Linked DNA regions of Cricetulus griseus. The protein of the gene in region 2 interacts with the protein of the main gene of each other region in a pairwise test. Links are inferred from orthologs where the notes say so. Each region holds a gene or a part of one and is shown on either strand. Other genes may lie near its edges. The genes, in order: Ptpn3, Wdr6 and G2e3.

Region 1 (7,565 bases), on a different chromosome or scaffold from region 2:
TGCAGGAAGGTAAGCCCTGCGATTATGGTCAGAGAGGGGACCACAAATCACCAATCCCTTCCCAACATGCCAGTCCCTTGAAAGGAAAGAGAGTATTCCATGTCTTCTGGTCATTCCGGGAGGTTATTTATACTCATTCTAGAAAACAAGTGCCCCTTGCATTCATGGACCTATGTGTAGCTCAGAAGGCCACAGTGAGTCCTCTTGCTCTGGTCTCACTCAGTCTTTGCTAGCTCACATATGTATGTGTGTTGGTGGGGGTAGGGAGTGGGGCATAACACTATAATTAAACTTCCAGCCAATAAAAACTAAGAGCAATTACCTACTACCCTAGGACTGAGACCGAATATCAACCTAAAACTCAAACTTCTTCCTGGGATAAGATTTGCCTATGACCTTGTCTCTCTGGCATGGAGTTGAGACCTCAGCAAGCATATTAAAAGCTATCATACCTTTGCTATGAGATCAGTCAGGTAAAATGAGGGCTTCAAGCTGGGATCTTGAATTTAGCTCGTAGGTAAGCTGGGAGCCAAGAGCCACACACACTAAGATCTGGCCTGAGTTGCAGGGAAGTGCACCAAGATTCCAGGCTGGGGGGGTCCCTTGGCCTATTCACCTTGCTTCCCTACCCATAGCCCTGCAGCTGCCAAACAGAAACATCTGTTCAAAGGCTCACCTCATCTCTTCCAAATGCCCTCAGCAACCTGACCTCCCGTCTGCCACTCATGTCTAATTTGCATACACTAGTCTTTGGAGGAGAAGACAAATCACCAGAGACAACCCAGATCAATATAGAGTATTAGGCACGTTTTTATTCCATTCTAATTCTCGGCAGATTGGTATTCCATTAACTGTATGTGGGGATTTATGGGAGTGCTCATACACTAGAATATTTAACTAGAATGGCCTACTCCCTGTCAGATAATAGCTTACTGTTGTTAATTTTCAACTAGGCAATCTCAGGAAGGCTTCCAGTTTCCAATACAGTCCAGATCTTGATTTAATCGTCAGGAAAGACATCTATGTGAGGTCTAGCCACACATGACAGTCTTATCCAGAAGAAAAAGCCCTGTCCCTGGAACCAGAAGCCTTGGGTTCCTCCATCCCAGTTACAATCAGGACAATTACAGGTGCCCGCTCAGAGCCTCAATTTCCTCCTCTATAAAATGGGAGTGACACCACCCTCTCAGGGAGAACTGTAAAACCTAAACGAGATGTTCATACACACTGCACAACTCTACGAGGTAACTAACTGCAAAGGTTCGTTATTATCATAAAAAGCCCCAGATGAAATTCTCAGATAGCCTAGGCTAGACAAAAAGCAGAGCGTATCACAACTAATTCTACTGAAAGGGGAGACACGTCAACCCAGACAATACATGGTGGCATTTCTGGTTGGCACATGGAAAGGGCTGCAGCAAGAACCAATTGAGCAAATACCAGGGAGGCTGCTTTGCACCCTATAATGCACAAGGGGCACCCACCGCAAAGAAGACACAAACCCACTGTGAGATGCCGACAAACCTTGATCCAAGTACTTAAGGTTAGGCATGGGAGCTCTGCAGCATCGGCATCTTCCCAGACAGGCTTTCCAACTCATTTGCAAGGCGGGTCATCTTGCAGAAACAGTTCTTTCTGCAAGTGGGGACCAAGTGTCAACTTCTGGAGTTTCTTAACTCCAGACTGCCTTTAAACAAGAGGCTCTCTGCTCCCCACCGTTCTGTTCAGTTGCTTTTCCAAAGCCTCAGCAGACCTTCTCCGGGGCACAAACACAGGCTCCGAAAATGCTTGCCTAATTCTAATTTCCTGACGAAATGGGAGCCACGAGGGTCTCTAACTGAATTAAAATCACATCACGCCAACTGCTCGCTTGCTTTGTGCCGGGCACAGAGCCAAACACCTCCACATCATTTATCCTACTTAATCCACCACCAACCAGGCGAGGTGGGCATTATTACTGCCTGCATGCAAGGGAGGAAATGGAGGATCAGGGAGGTTAAACTACTCGTCCAAGGTCACCAACTGGCCAAGGTAAAGAGCCCAACTTGAACCCAGGTCTCGCGTTTCCTAACCACAAGCTCCCTGCACCTTCATGGAACACCAGGTGCCAAGTTGTCTTAACTTCCCATGAATTTTTTAAAGGCAACCCTCAAGTTCGTAATAAGTTTGGGTGGCAGCAACCGGGGGCGAGGGTTTCCGGTTCTCTCTCCGCACAACGCAGCAATGTCACCGCAAGTTAACAGAGAAGCCACCCGGTCGCCCGCGGAACGGGGCGGATTGGATTAGCTCTGGAGTTCGTGCCAGGCCCAGGAAATGCCATCTTTGCAACTGGGAGGCGAACTGCGCCCCCCCAATTTGGGGGGCGAGCCTCGGGGGCCGCGGACGGATGGATCCCCGCGGCCGTGCGCCCCCTCGGCGAGGCTGACTATATCGCGGCGCCGGGCCCAGGGCTCAACCAGACTGGAGCGCACGCCCACGCCCGCGCCGCCGTGTCCTGAACGCCCAGCCCTGCGCCGTCCCCGCTCGCGCCCCGCCCCAGCCCCGCCAGGTGATCCGGGCCTGAGCGCCCCCCCAAGATGCCCGACGTGGCGCGGGGGACCCGGGGCTGCCAGCCCTCCCGCTAGTCCTCCCGCATGTCCGCCGCGCCCCGGGCCGGGTGGGGGTGGGGTGGCGCCCCGCGAGTCCCTGATCTCCGCAGCCAGCGCCCCGGCCCACCCCGCGGAGGTCCCAGCCGCCCATACCTGCAGCATCCGGGGGCGCGGGGCGCCCAGGTAGGTCGCGCGGACGGGCGGCGCGGAAGCTCGCTCGCGCCGCGACCTGGCCGCCGTCTGAGCATGCCCAGTGCAGCCCGCGGGCGGCTCCCGCCGGCCCGGCTGTGGCCGCGACGGGCCCGCGCGCGGGGCGGGGGACCCGGGACAGGGGCGGGCCCGGGGCAGGCTTGGGGCACGCTGCCATGCCCTTCGCGGGCCACCTGCCGACATCCCGCGGACCTCCGAGACCCCGGCTCACGTTCGCTGCCGTTCATACCTTAAGCATTTATTGAACACCTACTGTGTGCCTGACTTTCCGGGATTGCATGCCTAGGAATGGCAAGGACTTGGCGCTCAATGAATCTTTGAAATGACAGCGAGCTTGCACCGGGCTCCGTGGCTGAGTTGGGGATCTCGCTGACACTCCAGCACAGTCCTTTGCTGGTCCTAGGACGCCAAACAGGTTAGCCTGTCCCAAGGCCAGCAGGGGCCCTAGCTGGAGGGCGTTCCTGCCTGCCTCTTCCGCCTCCTCCCACACCTGCCTTCCTGCGCTCTGAGTGCACCTTCCTCTTCATCACACCCTCTGAACTTGACTCGCCTCGGGACGTTTGCGCTGCCTTTCCCTCGGGGTAGGACGTCTTTTCCCCAACTTAGCTGGTGCCCGGCGCCCTCTCACCGTACAGGTATCTTCCGTAGGAGAGGCCTTTCTGGCTACCTTTCTAAACTAGCCCTGACCTCTTGGCCACTCTCCACGTCCGTTATCGCCTTCCAAGCAAGTATCACGTATCCATTCAACAATTACTTACGTTCTTCACATTTAATAAATAGACAAAATTTCTGCCCCTTGCTGGGAGTTTGGAAGGGAGTCTCTCGCAACAAACAACAGGTCCGCAAACAACGCAGTGTATGAGGTGATAAATTCTTAAGAACGGGGTGGGGATGGTGGGGGAGAGAGCTGGGCAAGAAGGCTAGGGGGGTGGCCTGATGAGAGTTGGTGGAACAGCCGGATCAGGTGACAAATACCATTCAGTCACGCAGCTAAACGAGGAAGCTTTCCTAGGACGGAAAAGTCAGTGCCAAAACAAGGAGCGCAGGTGTTGTGCCTACGGCACGGGAAAGAGGGCACAGGGACAAACGGGGTCGGTTACTGGCTGTCTCTCTTGGCTTGGGTCCCCCGTAAGGAGTACCTCCCTTCAGTGTCAGTTCGGTAGCTCCGCCTCTCAAGAGACCTAACCTCTAAACAACTCTTGGCACAAACTAAAAACGTTTTTGTTGAATGAAGATTGCTAACCGGAGGATGTAGAGGTGGGTAGGACCCCTATAGTCGGATGTCCCGAGAACCTTTTGTCCCCTAGGCACCATGAGACCCTCGACCGTGCCTGGTTTACTGGTTTAGATCCCGGTCCCGGTCCCAAGGTAGTGCACCGCTGCGGGAGCCGCGGGAGCGTCGCGTCCGGGGAATTCCGACAGAGCCGGGAGTCCCGGGGGCTGCACTGCCTTGGCCCCGCCTAGGATCGTACGCAAAACCTGGAGCCACAGCGCCGTGGCAGCACCATTCGGACCGGCAGGGAGAGCACTGGGCATGCTCGGAGCCTGGGGCGCCCAGCGTCCGGAAGGAAAAACCCCCTGGAGGGGTTGGTGAGGCTGCACACCGAGTCCCACCTGGTCATCTCAGGCTCAGCCTTCTGCCTCCGGGCAGGGAGTGCTGGGTAACCTTCCTCCCCCAAGCATGGTGGGAAGACCATTCAGAGTCAGCTGACTGCACACTCTGTCCTCTACCAGCTGCTGTGTGATCTGCTACCAGAGCCTTGCGCTCTCTGTGCCCTAAATAATACAAATGCCTACGCTTGGATTCGGGGGCGTGTGGGGATTGGAAAAATAAAATAAAATAAAAAAGGACGTGAATTTATTCAGTCCACTTTAAATATTTACCCCTTGCTGAGGCTTGAATCCAGGGCTTTGCACACCATAAGCACGAATCTCTACCACTAGAAGCCTTACCCCAATATTCGTTTCGGAAGTGCCTATCTCAATTATGCCATCCTCTCGTAACACGGACTGCTAAGATGAGGCCTGGAGAATTCTTAGCGCTGTCCAGTTTAAAGTTGCTGGAGTAAAACCGTTACCTTTTCTCTGCTCATCATTGCTTAAGCAATGGTCTCAGATTCGAGCTAGAAAATAGCTGTGAACCTTAAATCCCTAAAGATTATTATTAATTTTTTGTTTTGTTTTTCGAGACAGGGTTTCTCTGTGTATCCTTGGCTGTCCTGGAACTCTCTCTGTAGACCAGGCTGGCCTCGATCTTCCACCTGTCTCTATCTCCCAGGTGCTGGAATTAAAGGCATGTGCTACCACCAACAAGCAAGATTTTTTTTTAAATTCGTATTTCAAATCACCATAACAGAACCAGGAACATAATAAAAGAAATAAAAGAATCCTCCTCCCCAACTGGAACAAAGCAGATGCTCAAAGGGAGGGTAATGATTGATTGTGTTCAGATCCATTCACTGAAATAATTACAACTAGATCTCTCGGGTCCTTGATATGGTTCAGTGGGTAAGGGCACTTGCAGACAAACTGACCTGAGATCAGTCAATCCCCAAGCCCCACCTGGTGGAAGACTGACTCCTGCAAGCAAGTTATGCTCTGATCTCCATGTGCATGCACATGCATACATACACACAATAAACAAATAAAATTATAACTTAAACTATTTCTATCACTATGCAACAACAGGAAACAACAAATGAAAATATTGAAAGCAACAAATTGTGAAAAGGTGGCATGGACACACCACTAAGAATGCAAATAATAGAATTTTGAAGCCAGGAGTGGTGTTGCAGACCTTTAATCCCAGCACTCAGGAGGCAGAGGCCATCAGGTCTCTGTGAGTTTGAGGCCAGCCTGATCTACAAAGCAAGTTCCAGGACAGCCAGGGCTTCTATGTTTTGTTTTGTTTGGTTTTTAAAGTTAATTAATGTCTTAATGTTGTGTGTGTGATAGTAAACACTTAAAGACCTGGACATGGTGACACATATCTTTAATCCCAGCACTGGAAGCAGAGGCAGGCAGATCTCTGTGAGTTCTAGGCCAGCTTGGCTAGCAAGTTCCAGTATAGCCAGTGCTCTATAGAGAGACCCTGTCTCAAAAACCTTCCCCCAAGTAAATAACACACACATCCATGATTAAGTTCAAATGTGGCCAATGTTTTCCATGAATTCTTCAATCTTTACAGTAGGTGGTTTGGTTTGTTTTTATCTCAGTTTCACTGAAAACAATTACAGGGGTGGGTTCACAGCTGGGGACAGGGATGGGTTCACAGTTGGTGACACACACTGGGGAGGATTTGAAGGCAAGCCCATTGACCTCATAGCGGGGTGTCAGGTTTTATGGTCTGTTGCCTTATATAAAGGAGCTAGCCATTGATTGATGAGTAAAGGAGACTGTCATTTTATTCTGCCCTTTGTGTGCCTTTCCCCCCCTAGTTTGATGTATTTTTTAGGCTGCAGATTACTTTTAACATTCTGGTCTACTGTTACTGTTTTGTTCTTGGGGCCAAAATAGTCAAGCCCCGCCTTTTAATCCGATGTGGCTGGATTGGCGTGATGTTATTAGCCTCAATGACAAGTGATTTTATAGTGTACATGTCCCTTCTTTTGTGAATGGGACTTTTGGATGGACATGTAATCTTCACGGCTAACTCTAAAGCAAATAACGCCCAGTAGTGAATAGGACTGTTCTGAGCCCCAGAGAATGAGGCCAGGCCCAAAGGGATTTATGTAGATAGATGATGTCCCTGGATAGTCATTTGGGGCTAGGGAGTGGGGACAGGGTCATGACTTAGTGGAGACACATTGTCCACAGACCCTCTCAAGACTCAAGACTGTAATGCGATGTAGAGTTAACTGTCCTACTGCTGTTTGCTGGAACAAAGCACCCCGCCCCCAGCAGCCCTTTTACAATTAAACGCCAAATTGCTCTTTGTCTTGTTGGTGTTGGCTCAAGAAATCCAACCCCCCCAACCCCCCACCCCCGCCCCAAACAACAAACCAGGGAGGTGATTTAATGAGAGGAGACACACAGCAGGCTAAATGTTCACCATTAGTTAGAGACCAGATTGATGGAGGAGAACAGTGTGAACAGCAAGCAAAGTTAGCAGCAGCCCCAGGAAGACACCATTTGTGCGTAATGCCCAGTGTCCAACACTGCATAGCAGCAATTGGTTGAGGGCATTAGTGGGAAGAGTTTCCTGGAAAAAGCACCACAGCCCATCAGTCACTCGCATCAAGACTCAGGAAATCTGGACAGTGATTGAGTGGCAGGGCTCCCCGCTGACTTGCTAATGCTTATGAATTATTTGTGCTGTTAATGTGAGCTCAAGAGGGGTTCCAGAACAGAGAAGGACGGGTAAGTGGTACTGATGGAGCTCGGGAAAAAGAATAAGCAGTCAAGCCTTGTGCATAGGATGGTCTCCACGGAGAACAAAATCACTGGGTTGAACCATAGAAGGTTGCCATTCTGTGGGTCAGAATGAACACAGGAAGCTTCGTGTGTTTCAACTCAGTGAGTGCACAGAGGGAAGCTAATGAGCAGCATAAATCTGTGAAGGGTGGCCGGGTCTCACTCTTGCCTTTAGGAACAGAGAAGCAGCCACAGACGGCATCTTACATGTGTGAAAATGTCCTTAGCATTCACAGGCTCTCATTTTACAACAAGTCTGGTTTCTTTTATTGTCAGGGGAAAAAAATGAAGCAAATGTTAAAGCTTTCAAGAGAAAAAATGCGGAAAGAGAGGGAAAAGTGTTACTTGGAGATT
Region 2 (7,543 bases):
CTACATGGTGTTGATGTGGTGCTGGGGTTGAACTCAAGCCTTGCACACATTAGGCAAGCACACTACAATTAAACTACAGTCCTAGCTCAGCCTCCTGTTCTTAGAAGTCCCTGGGACTTCCAGGGGAGGTGGACAGGGATAAGCTTGTGGCTGGCCCAAGGTGCGTCCACCTTGGTCAGCTCCTGAATGCCTGCTGCCTACCAGGGTGCTGCGCCTCACACGCCTTTCTCCGGAGATCGTGGAGCTCAGTGAGCCACTGCAGGTTGTACGATATGGTGAGGGTGGTCACTACCATGCCCATGTGGACAGCGGACCTGTGTACCCAGAGACCGTCTGCTCCCATACGAAGCTGGTAGCCAATGAGTCTGCGCCCTTTGAGACCTCCTGTCGGCAAGTACCTCCCACCGGGGGGTTGGCTTCAATTCACAGACTGGGTGCACTGAGGATGCAGGAATAGCCTGCTAGGGGCCAAGAGTACACTGGGCCACCCTGGTCAGCCATGCCCCTGCTTTTCCCCCAAGCCTCTCCTTCACTATTTATGGAGTAGCAGGAAAGTGGTGGCTACCGGCCATTGTGTCTACTCAAATGAGAACAGACCCAGATACCCACAGGTACTGACACTTGCCCTCATAAACATGGATCTTGACCCCACTGGTGGGGATGTCAGGCTGACTTCTACAGCTGTGCCCCCCACCCCTGCACAAAGTTAGGGTTTCATGTGGCTGTTCTGGCTCAGTCCTGCCAGTTGCCAGCAGACTTTGCATGTTATTCCTGCTTCTACAAGCTTACCTTTTCCAACCAGGTCTTTGGTCAAGGTCACGTAACTTACCTAAGTACACCTGTCATCTCAGCCACACAAGAAGAGTGGCTCTGTGGGGGTAAAGGGCTAGAAATGTCTTGGCCCTCCTAACCTGACCCTGTGGCCCCTGAGTAACCCTGCCCACAAGTGGGAATATCCTCAGTTGGGGATCCGCTCAGCAGCCCCTCCCCTCCGCCTTACAGTTACATGACGGTGCTGTTTTATTTGAACAACGTCACCGGTGGGGGCGAGACTGTCTTCCCTGTAGCAGACAACAGGACCTATGATGAAATGGTAAGGGCCAATGGGCTATTACTTCTGTGGGTTGGCAGGGCCTTGGGCAAGTGCACACACACCCTTCCAGACCTGGGGTGAGGGCACATGTCTGTTTTCCCTCTAGCCAACTTTGGCTGCCTGACTGTACAGAGGCAGGCAGTCCACAAACATCAACTCCTTGTTGCCCACAGAGTCTAATTCAGGATGATGTTGATCTCCGAGACACTCGAAGGCACTGTGACAAGGGGAACCTTCGTGTCAAGCCCCAGCAAGGAACTGCAGTCTTTTGGTACAACTACCTGCCTGATGGGCAAGGTGAGGGCTTCTCTGAGGGAACTTATCTCTCCCTTCTGCCACCTGAGGGCTGTTTCTGTCTGCTCTCCAAATAGCCTTCTGCCATAACCAGTGATTTCATTAGGCCACAGCGCAGCCTCTTGGGGTATCTCCATCCATTGCCCTCACGCATCAGCCTTTCTGTACTCTGGGGCTAGGGAAATACTCTCAACAACCCAGGCCGGGAAGAGCTATGGAGTGGCTGGCTCAGCAACAAGGAAGCCGGGCAGAGGGCCAGTGTATTGGCCATGCCTTAGTGGGTGAGATGCCGAGTCCTTCCATGGGGATTAGGAGTTTCCACAGCTCAGGAGGGTCCAGCCTAGGGTTCCCTCCCACGTGTCCCTTTGTTCATGCCACCTTCGTCCCCTAGGTTGGGTGGGTGAAGTGGACGACTACTCCTTGCATGGCGGCTGCCTGGTCACCCGTGGCACCAAGTGGATCGCTAACAACTGGATCAATGTGGACCCCAGCCGGGCACGGCAAGCTTTGTTCCAGCAGGAGATGGCTCGTCTGGCGCGTGAAGGCGGCTCCGACCCGCAGCCCGAATGGGCCTTGGACAGGGCCTACAGTGATGCCCGCGTGGAGCTCTGACGCGAGGCCAAGATGCAAGTCACTGCCCATCGTCAAAGACCCTGCAGGTCCTCTGTTGTACTGCAGACTAAAGATCTGGCCGATCTTGCCCTGCCCCTTCCCGCCTGCAGCCGCGATGAGGGGCGCAGTTGTTCCTACGTTCACGTTATTTACTGGTGTACAGCGGCCTCCATGCTGCTCCATCAAATAAAACGACAGGGCTTCGAGCCGGGTGCAGGCCAGCTCCGCGCCGCCTGGGGGAGGGGAGGCCCGCCGCTCTCCCCGCCAGCTTCCCGGGGGGCGGGGGCGGGGCGGGGGGCGGGGCGGCTCCCTTGCTGGGCCAATCGCCAGCCGGATCGCGTGGGGCCGAGGGTCGTCATTGGACGTCCGCGGCCGGGCGCCGGGGCTCCGCTACCTGTAGCTAGGGGATCGGGAGCTCGGCGACGCGGCTCTCAGACGGCTGGTTCTCGCGAGAACGCCGCTCTCTTCTCGGCTGTGGCGGCTGCGGCAGCTTGACGAACGTCATGGACGCTGTCGGGGACTTCGTCTGGCCGCAGGCGACCTCGGAGCTCATACTCCTCCCGGTCACGGGTCTGGAGTGCGTTGGGGACCGGCTGCTGGCGGGTGAGGAGGCTTGGCCCGCTCTCGTCGTGCTGGCGGGCGAAGACGTAGCCGGTCCCCCGGGGCGGTGGCGTCGGGACAAAGGATGCCCCGGGACGGGGACGGGCAGCGGGCTGGGCCCTGGCCGTGGGATGAGGCCGGTTGGGAGGTGGCGGGAACGCGGGCCAGCCCGAGGGGGGCGGGGCTCGGGAGACAGGGCTGAGGCCGTCGTGGCAGCTCCTCCTCAGCTGCAGCCGGCGTGGGGAGGGCGTGGGGAGGGCGGGTGGGGTGCCGTCGCTCCCTACGGGGGGGGGGGGAGGGCATTGCACTCCTGAAGGAATCAGATGAGGTAGAGAACGACGGCCCCAGGGGGCGTGGCACGAGGTTGGCCTCTGGGGAGGGTGAGGCTCCGCCCCCAAAGATGAGGGGCCTGAAGGAGGGTATGGTCGCCAAAAATTGAGTCTGAGACTTCTCCGAGTAGAGCAGTATTGGGAGGGGCCGGGCTCAGGTCCCTCCTGCAACGGTTGGGGCTCTAGGCCAGCCGGGTCAGTAATCACATGACCCAGTGTCTGGTGGTAAAGAACCTAACTCGAAGCCACTAGCCTTGGTGATGGTGGCGGCGGGGGATTCATAAAGCTCCCTAGCACTGACTACTATGCCTCTGGTCAGCCATCGTCAGCCCAACAAGGTTGTGTCGAGGGTATAATGGAGAGTTGATAAGCGGAGGGTGGGGGGAGTGTGTGGGTGCAAATATTGGTTTGCTCCAGTGAGGTGGGGCCAGCAAACTCTTCTGGAAGTGAAATCTGTAGAAGCTGGAGAAAGAGAAGATATGGAGCATTAAGAGAGGAGTAATGTTGCGGCCTCTGGGTTTGGGCTGGGGTGGGCAGTGGCTGGGGATGTTTGCTGGGATGCGGATGAGATAGCGGGAAATGGCTGCAGCGTGGCCAAAAGGAAGCTGCCAGGCCAATTCTGGGAATGTCTGTTGATCTGGGTCTGTGGGCTCTAACACAAAAGGGGTGTAAGAGATTGCCCAGGAAGTGTGAGTTTGTATAGAGGGAGGCACTGGACAAGCCTCTGAGCGTAAGTTAGGAGTGTGGGTAACACAGTAGATGCTGTCTAGGTTTAACCCTCTCAGACCTTGGAGTTGCAGACAGCTGTGAGCTGCCATGTGGGTGCTGGGAATTGAACTCGAGGCCACCAGAAGAGCAGTGCTCTTAACTGCTGAGCCGTCTCTCTTGCTAACTGTACCTCATTCTACCTTCCAAGGGTTCTCTGCTGTCTGGTGCTGTTGAGGCCTTCTAAGCCTGAGTCTCACACAAGGGTTCACCGCTGTCTAGTGGTGAGGCCAGAGCTCCCCTGCCTGTGAGGTGTGGGCTGCTCCTGCCTCCACTCCTGCCAGTGCCTCTGAATATGCACAGGGTTATCGGTTGAGGAGGGAGGGTTGCTGGTTATAGGCTTAAGGTGTGGAAAGGTTGACACAGCCTTTTCCCTGAGGGAGGGAGAGTCATGTAGAGACAGATGAAGCTGAGAATTTGGGGAATAGAGCAGAGTTGGCTTTCCCATCTGAAATGTAACAATGATGGGAGAATTCCTAGTGAATATACGTAAAGGGTGATGGATAGCCAGGCACAATGGCACCGTGCTATAATCTCAGCAGCTGGGAGGCTGAGACAAGAGGATTTTGAATTCAAAGTCAACTTGGGCTGTGTGGGAGAACCTCACCACAAAAACAAGTACCTGAGAAACACATACATTTGAAGTAGAAGTCTCGCTGAAGCTGAGGTCAGGACGTCCTAGGTTTAGTAGGATTTTGTGTCCTTGATATATTAAGTTATATGTTAACAAGTGCTGTGCTCCCATCTTGTCATGGACCACAGCGTTAGGGGAGTGGCTCTGATGTGGCTTTCTACCTCTGTCTAGGTGAGGGGCCTGACTTACTGGTGTACAACTTGGACTTTGGTGGGCATCTCCAGATGGTGAAGCGAGTACAGAACCTGCTTGGCCACTTTCTTATCCATGGTTTCCGAGTGCGACCAGAGCCCAAAGGAGACCTTGACTCTGAGGCCATGATAGCTGTGTTTGGGAGTAAGGGACTCAGAATTGTCAAAATTAGCTGGGGTCAAAGCCATCTTCGAGAGCTCTGGCGCTCTGGCCTGTGGAACATGTCCGACTGGATCTGGGATGTACGTTGGCTTGAAGGCAACATAGCCTTGGCCTTGGGCCACAACTCAGTGGTGCTGTATGACCCTGTGATAGGGTGCATGCTACAGGACGTACCCTGCACAGACAGGTGCACCCTCTCCTCAGCCTGCCTGATTGGAGACACTTGGAAGGAACTGACCATAGTGGCAGGGGCCGTTTCCAACCAGCTCCTGGTCTGGTATCCAGCAACTGCTTTGACAGACAACAAACCTGTGGCACCTGACCGTCGGGTTAGTGGACACGTGGGTGTCATCTTCAGCATGTCATACCTGGAAAGCAAGGGCCTGCTGGCAACTGCTTCAGAAGACCGAAGTGTCCGTATCTGGAAGGTGGGCGACCTCCGGGTACCTGGGGGTCGGGTGCAGAACATTGGTCACTGCTTTGGACATAGTGCCCGTGTATGGCAGGTGAAGCTCTTAGAGAATTATCTCATTAGTGCAGGAGAGGACTGTGTCTGCTTGGTGTGGAGCCATGAAGGTGAGATCCTTCAAGCCTTTCGGGGCCACCAGGGCCGCGGTATCCGGGCCCTAGCTGCTCATGAGAGGCAAGCCTGGGTGATCACTGGGGGTGATGACTCAGGCATTCGGCTCTGGCACCTGGTAGGTCGTGGGTACCCAGGCTTGGGCATCTCAGCTCTGTGCTTCAAGTCTCCCAGCCGGCCAGGTGCCCTCAAGGCTGTGACTCTGGCTGGTTCTTGGAGAGTACTGGCAGTGACTGATACAGGGGCCCTGTACCTCTACGACCTTGAGGTCAAATGCTGGGAGCAGCTGCTGGAGGACAATCGCTTTCAGTCTTACTCCCTGCTGGAAGCAGCTCCTGGTCCTGAAGGCTTTGGACTCTGTGCCTTGGCCAATGGGGAGGGTCTTGTCAAGGTTGTCCCCATCAACACTCCCACTGCTGCTGTGGACCAGAACCTGTTCAGTGGGAAGGTACACAGCCTGAGTTGGGCCCTCCGTGGCTATGAGGAGCTTTTGTTGTTGGCATCAGGCCCTGGTGGGGTAGTAGCTTGCTTGGAGATCTCAGCTGCACCCACTGGCAAGGCCATCTTTGTCAAGGAACGTTGCCGGTACCTGCTTCCCCCAAGCAAGCAGAGATGGCACACATGTAGTGCCTTCCTGCCCCCAGGTGACTTCCTGGTCTGTGGAGACCGCCGTGGCTCTGTGCTGCTATTCCCTGCCAGACCAAGTCTGTTCAAAAATCCTGGGCTTAGAAACAAGGCTATTACTGAAGCTGAGGCCCCTGGAGCTGGTGATAGCAGTGGTGGGTCTGAGAATGTTCCAACAAGGTTAGTCCCAGTATCTACCCTTCATTCTCTGCATGGGAAACAGGGCGTAACCTCAATTACCTGTCACGGTGGCTATGTATACAGCACAGGGCGTGATGGCACCTACTACCAGCTCTTTGTACATGGTGGCCAGCTCCAGCCAGTCCTAAGGCAGAAGGCCTGTCGAGGCATGAACTGGGTAGCTGGGCTTCGCATGGTGCCTGATGGAAGCATGGTCATCTTGGGTTTCCATGCCAATGAATTTGTAGTGTGGAGCCCCCGGTCCCATGAGAAGCTTCATATGGTCAACTGTGGTGGAGGACACCGCTCCTGGGCCTTTTCTGATACTGAGGCAGCCATAGCCTTTGCCTACCTTAAGGATGGTGATGTCATGCTCTATCGGGCTCTAGGTGGCTGCACTCGGCCAAACGTGATTCTCCGAGAGGGTCTGCATGGCCGTGAAATCACCTGTGTAAAGCGTGTGGGCACTGTAACCCTAGGCCCTGAATTTGATATACCCTGCTTGGAGCCTCCTGACTACCTGGAGCCCGGCAGTGAGGGGCCTGGTCTGATTGACATTGTGATTACATGCAGTGAGGACACTACTGTCTGTGTCCTAGCGCTTCCCACAACCACAGGCTCAGCCCACGCACTCACAGCTGTTTGTAACCATATCTCTTCGGTGCGTGCTCTGGCAGTGTGGGGCATTGGTTCTCCAGGTGGCCCACAGGATTCTCGACCAGGTCTTACTGCTCATGTAGTGTCTGCAGGGGGTCGGGCTGAGATGCACTGTTTCAGCCTCATGGTCACTCCTGACCCCAGCACCCCAAGCCGCCTCACCTGCCATGTTATGCACCTTTCATCCCACCGGCTGGATGAGTACTGGGACCGGCAGCGCAATCGGCATCGGAAGGTCAAGGTGGACCCTGAGACCAGGTAATGTGCACTCCCTGTCGTGGCCATGGAAGAAGCTACAGGCAGGTGTCTCCTGGCTTGCAGGCTCCACCTGACAGCTGTGTTCTTCCTGTAGGTACATGTCTCTTGCTATTTGTGAGTTTGACTCCGACAAGCCTGGCTATGGCCCCCTTGTGGCTGCAGCCTGTAGTGATGGAGCAGTGAGGTGAGCACTTGGGGCCAGTGAATGAGGAGACAAAAAGGGTATGTATGAGCTCTTCAGGGTGGGTTCTGAGATGCCTCCCCGCCCCCAGGCTTTTTCTCTTGCAGGACTCTGGGCGAATTCTGCATCTGCTTGCTGAGACTTTCCACCATAAGCGGTGTGTTCTCAAAGTCCATTCCTTCACACATGAGGCACCTAACCAGCGGCGGTGAGCGAGGCAGTCCTCTATGATTGGGTAAGGGCTCCTGTTGTCTTCCCACCCCATTCACTCATCTGGCTGCCCTCTGCTGGCACAGGAGGCTGATCCTGTGCAGTGCAGCTACAGACGGTAGCCTGGCCTTCTGGGATCTCACCACTGCGATGGACCGTGGCTCCACTACCC
Region 3 (7,023 bases), on a different chromosome or scaffold from region 2:
ATGTCACCTATGTGTCTGCAAAAAGTATAGGAGCCGGAGGGCGGCATAGGTGCTGATACCCTGAAGCTACCTTAAGGGCTGCTGGACATGGGTCCTGGAAATCCGGTCCTCTGCAAACACAACAAGCATTCTTAACCACTAAGCCATTTCTCCAACCCCAGATATTCTGAATCCTTCCTTCAAAAATAGCAAATTCTCATTCATAACAAATGCAAATTATTTATTCCAGATATAACTAAAGAATCAATTACAAGCATCTATCTTGTTTTTTTGCTATACATGCTATTTTCAGTACAAATAATAATAAAAAGTTACCTTGAGAATTTAGAGTCAAGTTCTTTGACAAAGACCCTTCAAACAGAGATGAAGTCTCAAGATATTGCATTAAGTGGCTCAGAAATTCCTGCTTTGATCCAGGATGCTCTCTTCCCAAGTTATCATTTTCACTAACATACATTACTTCAATGGTGTATGAAGGGTTAAACTTCTGACTCTGGAACTGCTCTAAGGTACTCCTCCACACATTGGCTTTGTTGATATGTAATCTCTTAGCCTTCTTTTTAATTTGGAATCCTAACTCTAGCAATATTGTTGAAATGTCTCTCCTAAATTTGCTGCCTTGCCTAGAAAACACAAATTCAAATAAAGATCATTATTGTAAAGCAAATTCTGTGGAACAACAATTATACAACATTAAAGTTGTAGTTCTTTTTGTTTGTTCTGTTTTTAAGTTTAAAAAGACAGCTTTTTTTTTTTGATGATATTGGAACCAAAACATTTATCAGATTATCTACTTTTAAATTCCCACAATCTAACCCCAACTTATAATCACTTAACATTGAAGTTTATTTGAATATCTAATTCAGTGGACTCAAATTTAAGGGTATGAAATTCAAAATATTACTTACTGGCCAATAGCTAAAATAACTCGATTGTATCAATAATGTATTCTCAATAGTGTAGCTACAACTGATAATGCAGATATTATCAACCGAACTCATGTTCCCTTAAATATCTTTCAATCTAATCATCTATGCCAACAGCATCATCTGTAAACTAGTTACAAATGCAAATCCTTGAGCCCCCAGGCACGTCTGCACTACCAAAATCTCTGTGTATTAGCATCCATGAAGCACATGAGTTAGATTAACTTCTTTCTGCCCCAGATTTTCCATCTGCAGGCAGAACTAATGTAGTCAATGTACATGGATCATCTTTCTATAACATTGTCCTACCCCAAACATTGCAGCCACATTTTATTATAGCAGTTGATTCCTTGCTCCTTGGGAATGTCAATGCTGCTCTTCAAGCATATAACTAGATGCTGAAACAGAAACAGTCAAGTTTCTCTAGTGCAATGTCTTTGGAAACCCAAATATTAAAATTATGTTCAAACAATGAATCATTCTAACATAAAAATAACTATAGTTTCCAGTTGAATTAGCGAAGAGAAACTATTTGCTTAAGGCCCCTGACATTAACTATATATAAAGTAACCAATGGTTATAAAATCAAGAAACCAACCTTTGTGTTAAACAGGACTCTTTTATAGAGGGACACGGTGTGCTTGATAATTGAACTTCTTGCTTTAGTCTGTAATTGAATAATGTTGTAAAGATATTTTCCAGGATGCTTAAAATCTTTAAAATATCTTATATTATGGCTCAGTATAAAAGGAGAAAAATACTAAAATTGATTAATATAGCCTGATACCTTGCTTATCTCCCTCCCTTCCTTTATAATACAGACTTTCATATAGCCCAGGCTGGTCTCAAATCCATTATGTCGCTACCAGTATGTGACCTTGCCAAGGTATTCTATGTCCTCCCACCCTTCCTTGACTTCATGCATCCCATGTTGGGTCCTACAGTTTGAAAATCATACAACTGTATGATCAGCTAATAAACTAAGTGTGTCTGGCATCTTAAGTAATAATTTTCAAAGTGACTTTTCTAAAATCAATACACATACCTCAGCAATTCTTTATGCTGGGCTCCAGCTGACTGTCTGGGGAGCTTAGGTGATGACTCTTCCAACAGGCAATCAGTAACTGTCACATTAGTAGAGTTGGCTAACGGGTGTTTGGGGGCCTTTCGGAAATCTACATATTTAAATCCAGAGGTTAGCTTAACAGAAACTTACATAAACATTTTCAAGAACATACACTTGAACAAAAATAACTTTGTTCAAACTTACAAACTATTACCTGAATTGTAGGTGATTCTTCTACAGTCCAAACACTCCCAGTTTTGTTCCAGTGACTGTAGTGTAGAACAGGCTAAGTGTGTTCCACTAGAACCACAACACTGACAGCGCTTTACTTCCCATTTGCTGAGGACATAAAAATAGTATATTTGCATGTTCTGTGCATGCTGGATGTCATTCAGATTAGCACCTAAATCCAGCCCTCTGTCATACACCACACCAACCTACCAAAGGAAGGAAAAGACTATGCCCCACGAAAGTACTGATTGAGGCAGGGTCTGGCTAGGCACTCCAGACTGGCCGTGACCAGTGGCCTTCCTACTTTATCATCCCAAATGCTTGGATTATTGGAATGCCATAGCACATCTGATTCTAAAGTATTTTCTCTCTTCATTTAATGTTTATAATCTCTTCCTCTAAACATCCTGAACTTAAAAACCTAAATGAATACTGATATACATATATACAAAGAATATAAATATCAGAAAAGTTTATAAGGAGAAAAATATTTTCCTTTACATTTGGAGATAGATTACATTCAGAGAGAGATTACTGTTCACTATCTGATACACAAGTTTGCAATATGAAGGTATGCAGGATTTCCAAAACAAAACAAATAAAAAACAATGCTCTGACATATTTCAGATGCCATGCAATGCAACCAATATAGTTTGTTTCTGACTCATATTATATTATTTCTCATCTCTGCTCCTTTCTTCTTGTCACCCATTGTGCCTGTAATACCCATATACATTTCCATATAGGTGTATTATTAGGGTTTTGATTGCTGTGATAAAAACACCAAGACCAAAAGTAACTTGAGGAGGAAAGTGTTTATAGGATCATCACTGAGAGAACCCAGGGCAGGAACCTTGAGGCAGGAGCTGATGCAGAGGCCATGGAATGGTGCTACCTATTGGGTTGCCCTGCATGGCTTGCTCATCCTACTTTCTTATAGAGCCCAGAACTACCGGTCCATGGCACCACCAAACTGGGGTGATCCTCCCCGATCAACTAATTAAGAAAATGCTGTACAGATGGATCTTCTGGAGGCATTTTTCCAATTGAGTTTCCCTCCTTTTAGAGGATTAGCTTGTGTCAAGTTGACATAAACTGGCCAGCACACAGTATATACTAGAAAGATGTTGGACTGAAGCTTCTCTCACTTTCTGTCGGGATGAGTACACAGTCTTCTGTACAGAAACAGATATATTCTATGTGGAAACATGGGTGGCAAGTTGAATGGCTATTCTTCCAACACCTGTATACATAAGCATCTTCCACATTAGTGTGAATGGGTGGAGCATAGGTGCCTGACTCTGCCTCCTCAAAATAGTTCTACTCACCCACAATGACGAAGATAGCAGCTAAAATATGTGTTTACTACATACCAGGCCCCCTTCTCATTCTTTGTATAAAATGTTCAGCTTTTACAATTTTGAAAGTGGAATGAACCACTCACAGAGGGCTATTTCCCTAACCGTATATTCCTGTATGTCTTAGGGTGAGGTTTCCAATTCACTTTGCTTGGGCTTTAGACCCATGCTCCATACTACACTAAGTTGCCTTTGTCTTATTAGAATGGAAGGAATACAGTTACAAAGCAAGCATCCTTCATTACAACAGTTGCCTGTACCATAACCCTCCTGAGTTATGGGAGACTACATTAGCAGGACAATAACATATTTTTAAGAGAGTGATTAGGCCACAGAAAATCACAGAGACCACCATGAGGACACAATGAGGAGTCACCTGTATCACCTCCCGGCAATGCTTCTGAGTAAAACAAAGCCATAGGTCCCTAGGTCTTGCACCTCTAGCTCTAAAGCTCTAAAGTCCCATCCAGTCTTCAGCCCTTTGTTACAAGAGCTTTCAGCTTGGAATAACCTCATGAAAGTTTACCAAAAACACTTCCTATATTGACTATATATTGACACAATTAATAAACATACTTCATCTCAAGTTAAAACTTCAAAACACCCTAAGAGGAAAACTGCATTTCACACCCAGACAACCTACAGTCTTAGCTAACATCTTAGTAAGGAAGAACTAAACACAATGCAACTTGCAGAAATACCTATTGGGTTCATTATAGTCTCGCCCTTTTTTGCAATGACATCTTCGAACATCGCAGCGGTCATGGCTCTGCAACAGCTCTTGATAGGCATTTTCTTCTAATTCCCAAGATGCATCCCTATAATGAAGTAAGATGCAAAAAGTGTGTTGGTCTGACGGAATTAATAATTTAGAAACAAGGATGAAAGTACCTTTTTAGGTTGTTCTTTTCAACATAGAAATCTATTATGTTACTTTACCTTACAGTCAGTTTCACAGTTAACTTTCAAACACTAAGTGAAAAGTTGAACAGAATTTTCTAAAACCTCTATTATTCTAGTATTTCATTTCCGGTTTTTGTTGTTATATCCTAGGCTACTTCAAATTCAAGTCCCACCTCTTCCCAGGTTCTCAAGTTCTGGGATCCCGCCCCATTAGAGGCAGAGTTTCTCTGTTTAACAGACTTGTCTGGGAACTCACTCTGTAGACCAGGCTGGCCTCAAACTTACAAAGATCCACCTGCCTCTGCCTCCTAAATGCCAGGATTAAAGGTGTGTGCCACCACCACCCGGATCACATGCCGGGATTACTAAGTGTGTTTGTTTTGGTGTTTCTTTTTCCTCTCCCTGACCCAAGACTCTAGCCCAAGCAAGCCTAGAACTCACTTCACAATCCATGTTGACCTATACACCTTAAGCCTCCCAAGGACTGGGGTACAATTTTTACTTTCAAGTATTAATCACTGCTTGAGATTTCTCATCTTATTTATGGCATCACTAAAATTCTTCTTTTCTATTTTAAACCCATTGAGTCTGTCTTAGATTATCTATGGATACCAACTTAAAGATGCTATACATATCACCAGAATTGGACTTATCTGAGTTACTAAGAGACACATCAGCTAATGAGACACTGACACCATAGTGCCTGTTTCTCAAGAGCTGGCCATCTGGGAGAAGGCACTTGATCATGTGACATGGCTACTTAGCCACAATCACTATTAAGACAAAAATTATTAGTTTTAATGTTACTAAATACTACATTTAAATGCTTTTGGTTATAAAGCCAAATGTTACTCACTTTTCAGGAATATGAATTCCCATTCTCAACATCTCTTTCTGAAAGATATCGGTATTATTGCATAGTGTACACCTAAAGAAATACACTCCTGCATTTATTGCTTGAACCTACAGCAGAAAATGGAAAATCTATTGTTAGTAATGCATCTCTCACCGGGTTGTGAATTATATAACTAATAGAACATATGCTACCTTTTCCTTGATGTATCCTGAAAATATTTTCTATGCCAATGGCTCTCAGAACTATAAGCAGTCACCCTAAACACGGACAGCCTTTTCTCCTGTTTAAAAAGCATCTCGAAAACACATAATCCTTTCAACAGTCAATACTTTACTTTCTCGGACCGTAATACTACTTTAGTTTACTTTCTGCTGCCATGAGAAAACATGGATGAAAACAACCCCCAGGCCACTGTCTATTACTGAGGGAAGAAATTCAGGGCAGGAGCCTGGAGCATTGAGTAGCTGCTTCCATCCAGTTCAGAACCTGATACTTTTCTTGTACTACATAGGACACACCTGCTTTGGGGTAGCACCTGTTAACAATAGGCTAGACCCTCTTCCATCATTTGTAGTCCACACCCCACAGACATATGCATAGGCCAATCTGTTGAAGGCAAAGTCACAACTGACGCTCTCTCTTCCCAGGAGTACCTAGTTAAGTAGCCAAAAGCTAACCCGCACAGACACGTAAAACAATTTCATTTCCTAAATATCGATTTGTCCTCCACGGTATAAGGACAAACAATGAAAATCTTCAGTTACTTGACTAGGTGTTTATTATTATATAAAATTACTATTTGTTTTTAACTCAATGTTGATTTTTCCCCCAAAAGAGAAACACTGAATTTTCTAACAGTGTTATATAGCAAATACATAATCACAAACCAGATGACATCCAGAGGGATATAAGACACTATACATTGTAGAATGAGCAGCAGTCCCCCAAAACTAGTAACAGATATTCATTTAAGTTCTACTTCCTTAGATGACAAACAATGCTGTGTAGCAAAACTAGTAAACAAAGAATTCTAGTGACCAGGCACACAACTATAAAATAATGTGAAAGTATTATCTGTATGTGTGTCTATCTACGTGTGCATAGGTGTACATGTGGAGACCAGAGGCTGATGTCAGTCTTTTCACTTAATTTTTTTGAGGCAGCGTTAATTACTGACGCCAGGACTCACCTATTTAGCTAGACTGACTTTACCAAGGAGTTCCAAGAACCCATCTATCTCAGAACCCTTTCACTACCATTTCACCATGGCCCATGTTGAGGTTACAGACTAGTGCTGACATGCCTGGCTTTAGAAATGTTGTTTTGTTTTGTTTTTAAAGTATATACAAGGAACAAAGAGAAAAAGCCACTGATTAATAAAATATTGAAAAAAGGCAAGTTTTAGAATAGAGGTTTGCCAAGAAAAAAGAATGAAAGACATTTCAAGGGAAGTTTCCATAGTAAGACAGAGAGCATGTAATTTAGGAAATATATTTTAATATGACATTCTCACCAAACTGAACTAAATAATAAGACTAAACAGGTGAATCAAATTCAGAAAAAAGAGAAGCTTCAAGGAGAGTACAATTGTCAGAAAATAAAAAATCTATACCAATTAGTTTAGAGCAGTAAAGACAGTGATTACAACAGAAGAAGACACAAAACTATTATCTGGACTGACAC

What was found.
Region 1: the proteins of Wdr6 (region 2) and Ptpn3 interact in binary tests that used the Homo sapiens proteins (3 or more experiments, as listed by UniProt). The two-hybrid records come from large-scale screens. The link is inferred for Cricetulus griseus from reciprocal best matches to the Homo sapiens genes WDR6 and PTPN3.
Region 3: the proteins of Wdr6 (region 2) and G2e3 interact in a two-hybrid assay, tested with the Homo sapiens proteins (2 studies listed by BioGRID and IntAct). The two-hybrid records come from large-scale screens. The link is inferred for Cricetulus griseus from reciprocal best matches to the Homo sapiens genes WDR6 and G2E3.

The regions. Positions count from the first base shown.
Region 1 is NC_048595.1:86,573,355-86,580,919, reverse strand, and holds the start of Ptpn3 (tyrosine-protein phosphatase non-receptor type 3), read right to left. Parts: upstream 4,170-7,565; 5' UTR 3,557-4,169; intron 2,863-3,556; exon of another isoform or gene 2,742-2,862; intron 1-2,741.
Region 2 is NC_048597.1:216,750,686-216,758,228, reverse strand, and holds the start of Wdr6 (WD repeat-containing protein 6), read left to right. Parts: upstream 1-2,392; 5' UTR 2,393-2,502; coding exon 2,503-2,602; intron 2,603-4,498; coding exon 4,499-6,980; intron 6,981-7,074; coding exon 7,075-7,164; intron 7,165-7,252; coding exon 7,253-7,369; intron 7,370-7,457; coding exon 7,458-7,543. Other genes in the region: P4htm (transmembrane prolyl 4-hydroxylase), read left to right, coding at 205-390, 1,003-1,093, 1,267-1,390, 1,779-1,999. UniProt on the Homo sapiens protein: Together with methyltransferase FTSJ1, methylates the 2'-O-ribose of nucleotides at position 34 of the tRNA anticodon loop of substrate tRNAs. Required for the correct positioning of the substrate tRNA for methylation.
Region 3 is NC_048598.1:150,937,122-150,944,144, forward strand, and holds part of G2e3 (G2/M phase-specific E3 ubiquitin-protein ligase), read right to left. Parts: intron 5,448-7,023; coding exon 5,341-5,447; intron 4,400-5,340; coding exon 4,283-4,399; intron 2,332-4,282; coding exon 2,207-2,331; intron 2,102-2,206; coding exon 1,972-2,101; intron 1,594-1,971; coding exon 1,525-1,593; intron 624-1,524; coding exon 316-623; intron 1-315. UniProt on the Homo sapiens protein: E3 ubiquitin-protein ligase which accepts ubiquitin from an E2 ubiquitin-conjugating enzyme in the form of a thioester and then directly transfers the ubiquitin to targeted substrates. Essential in early embryonic development to prevent apoptotic death.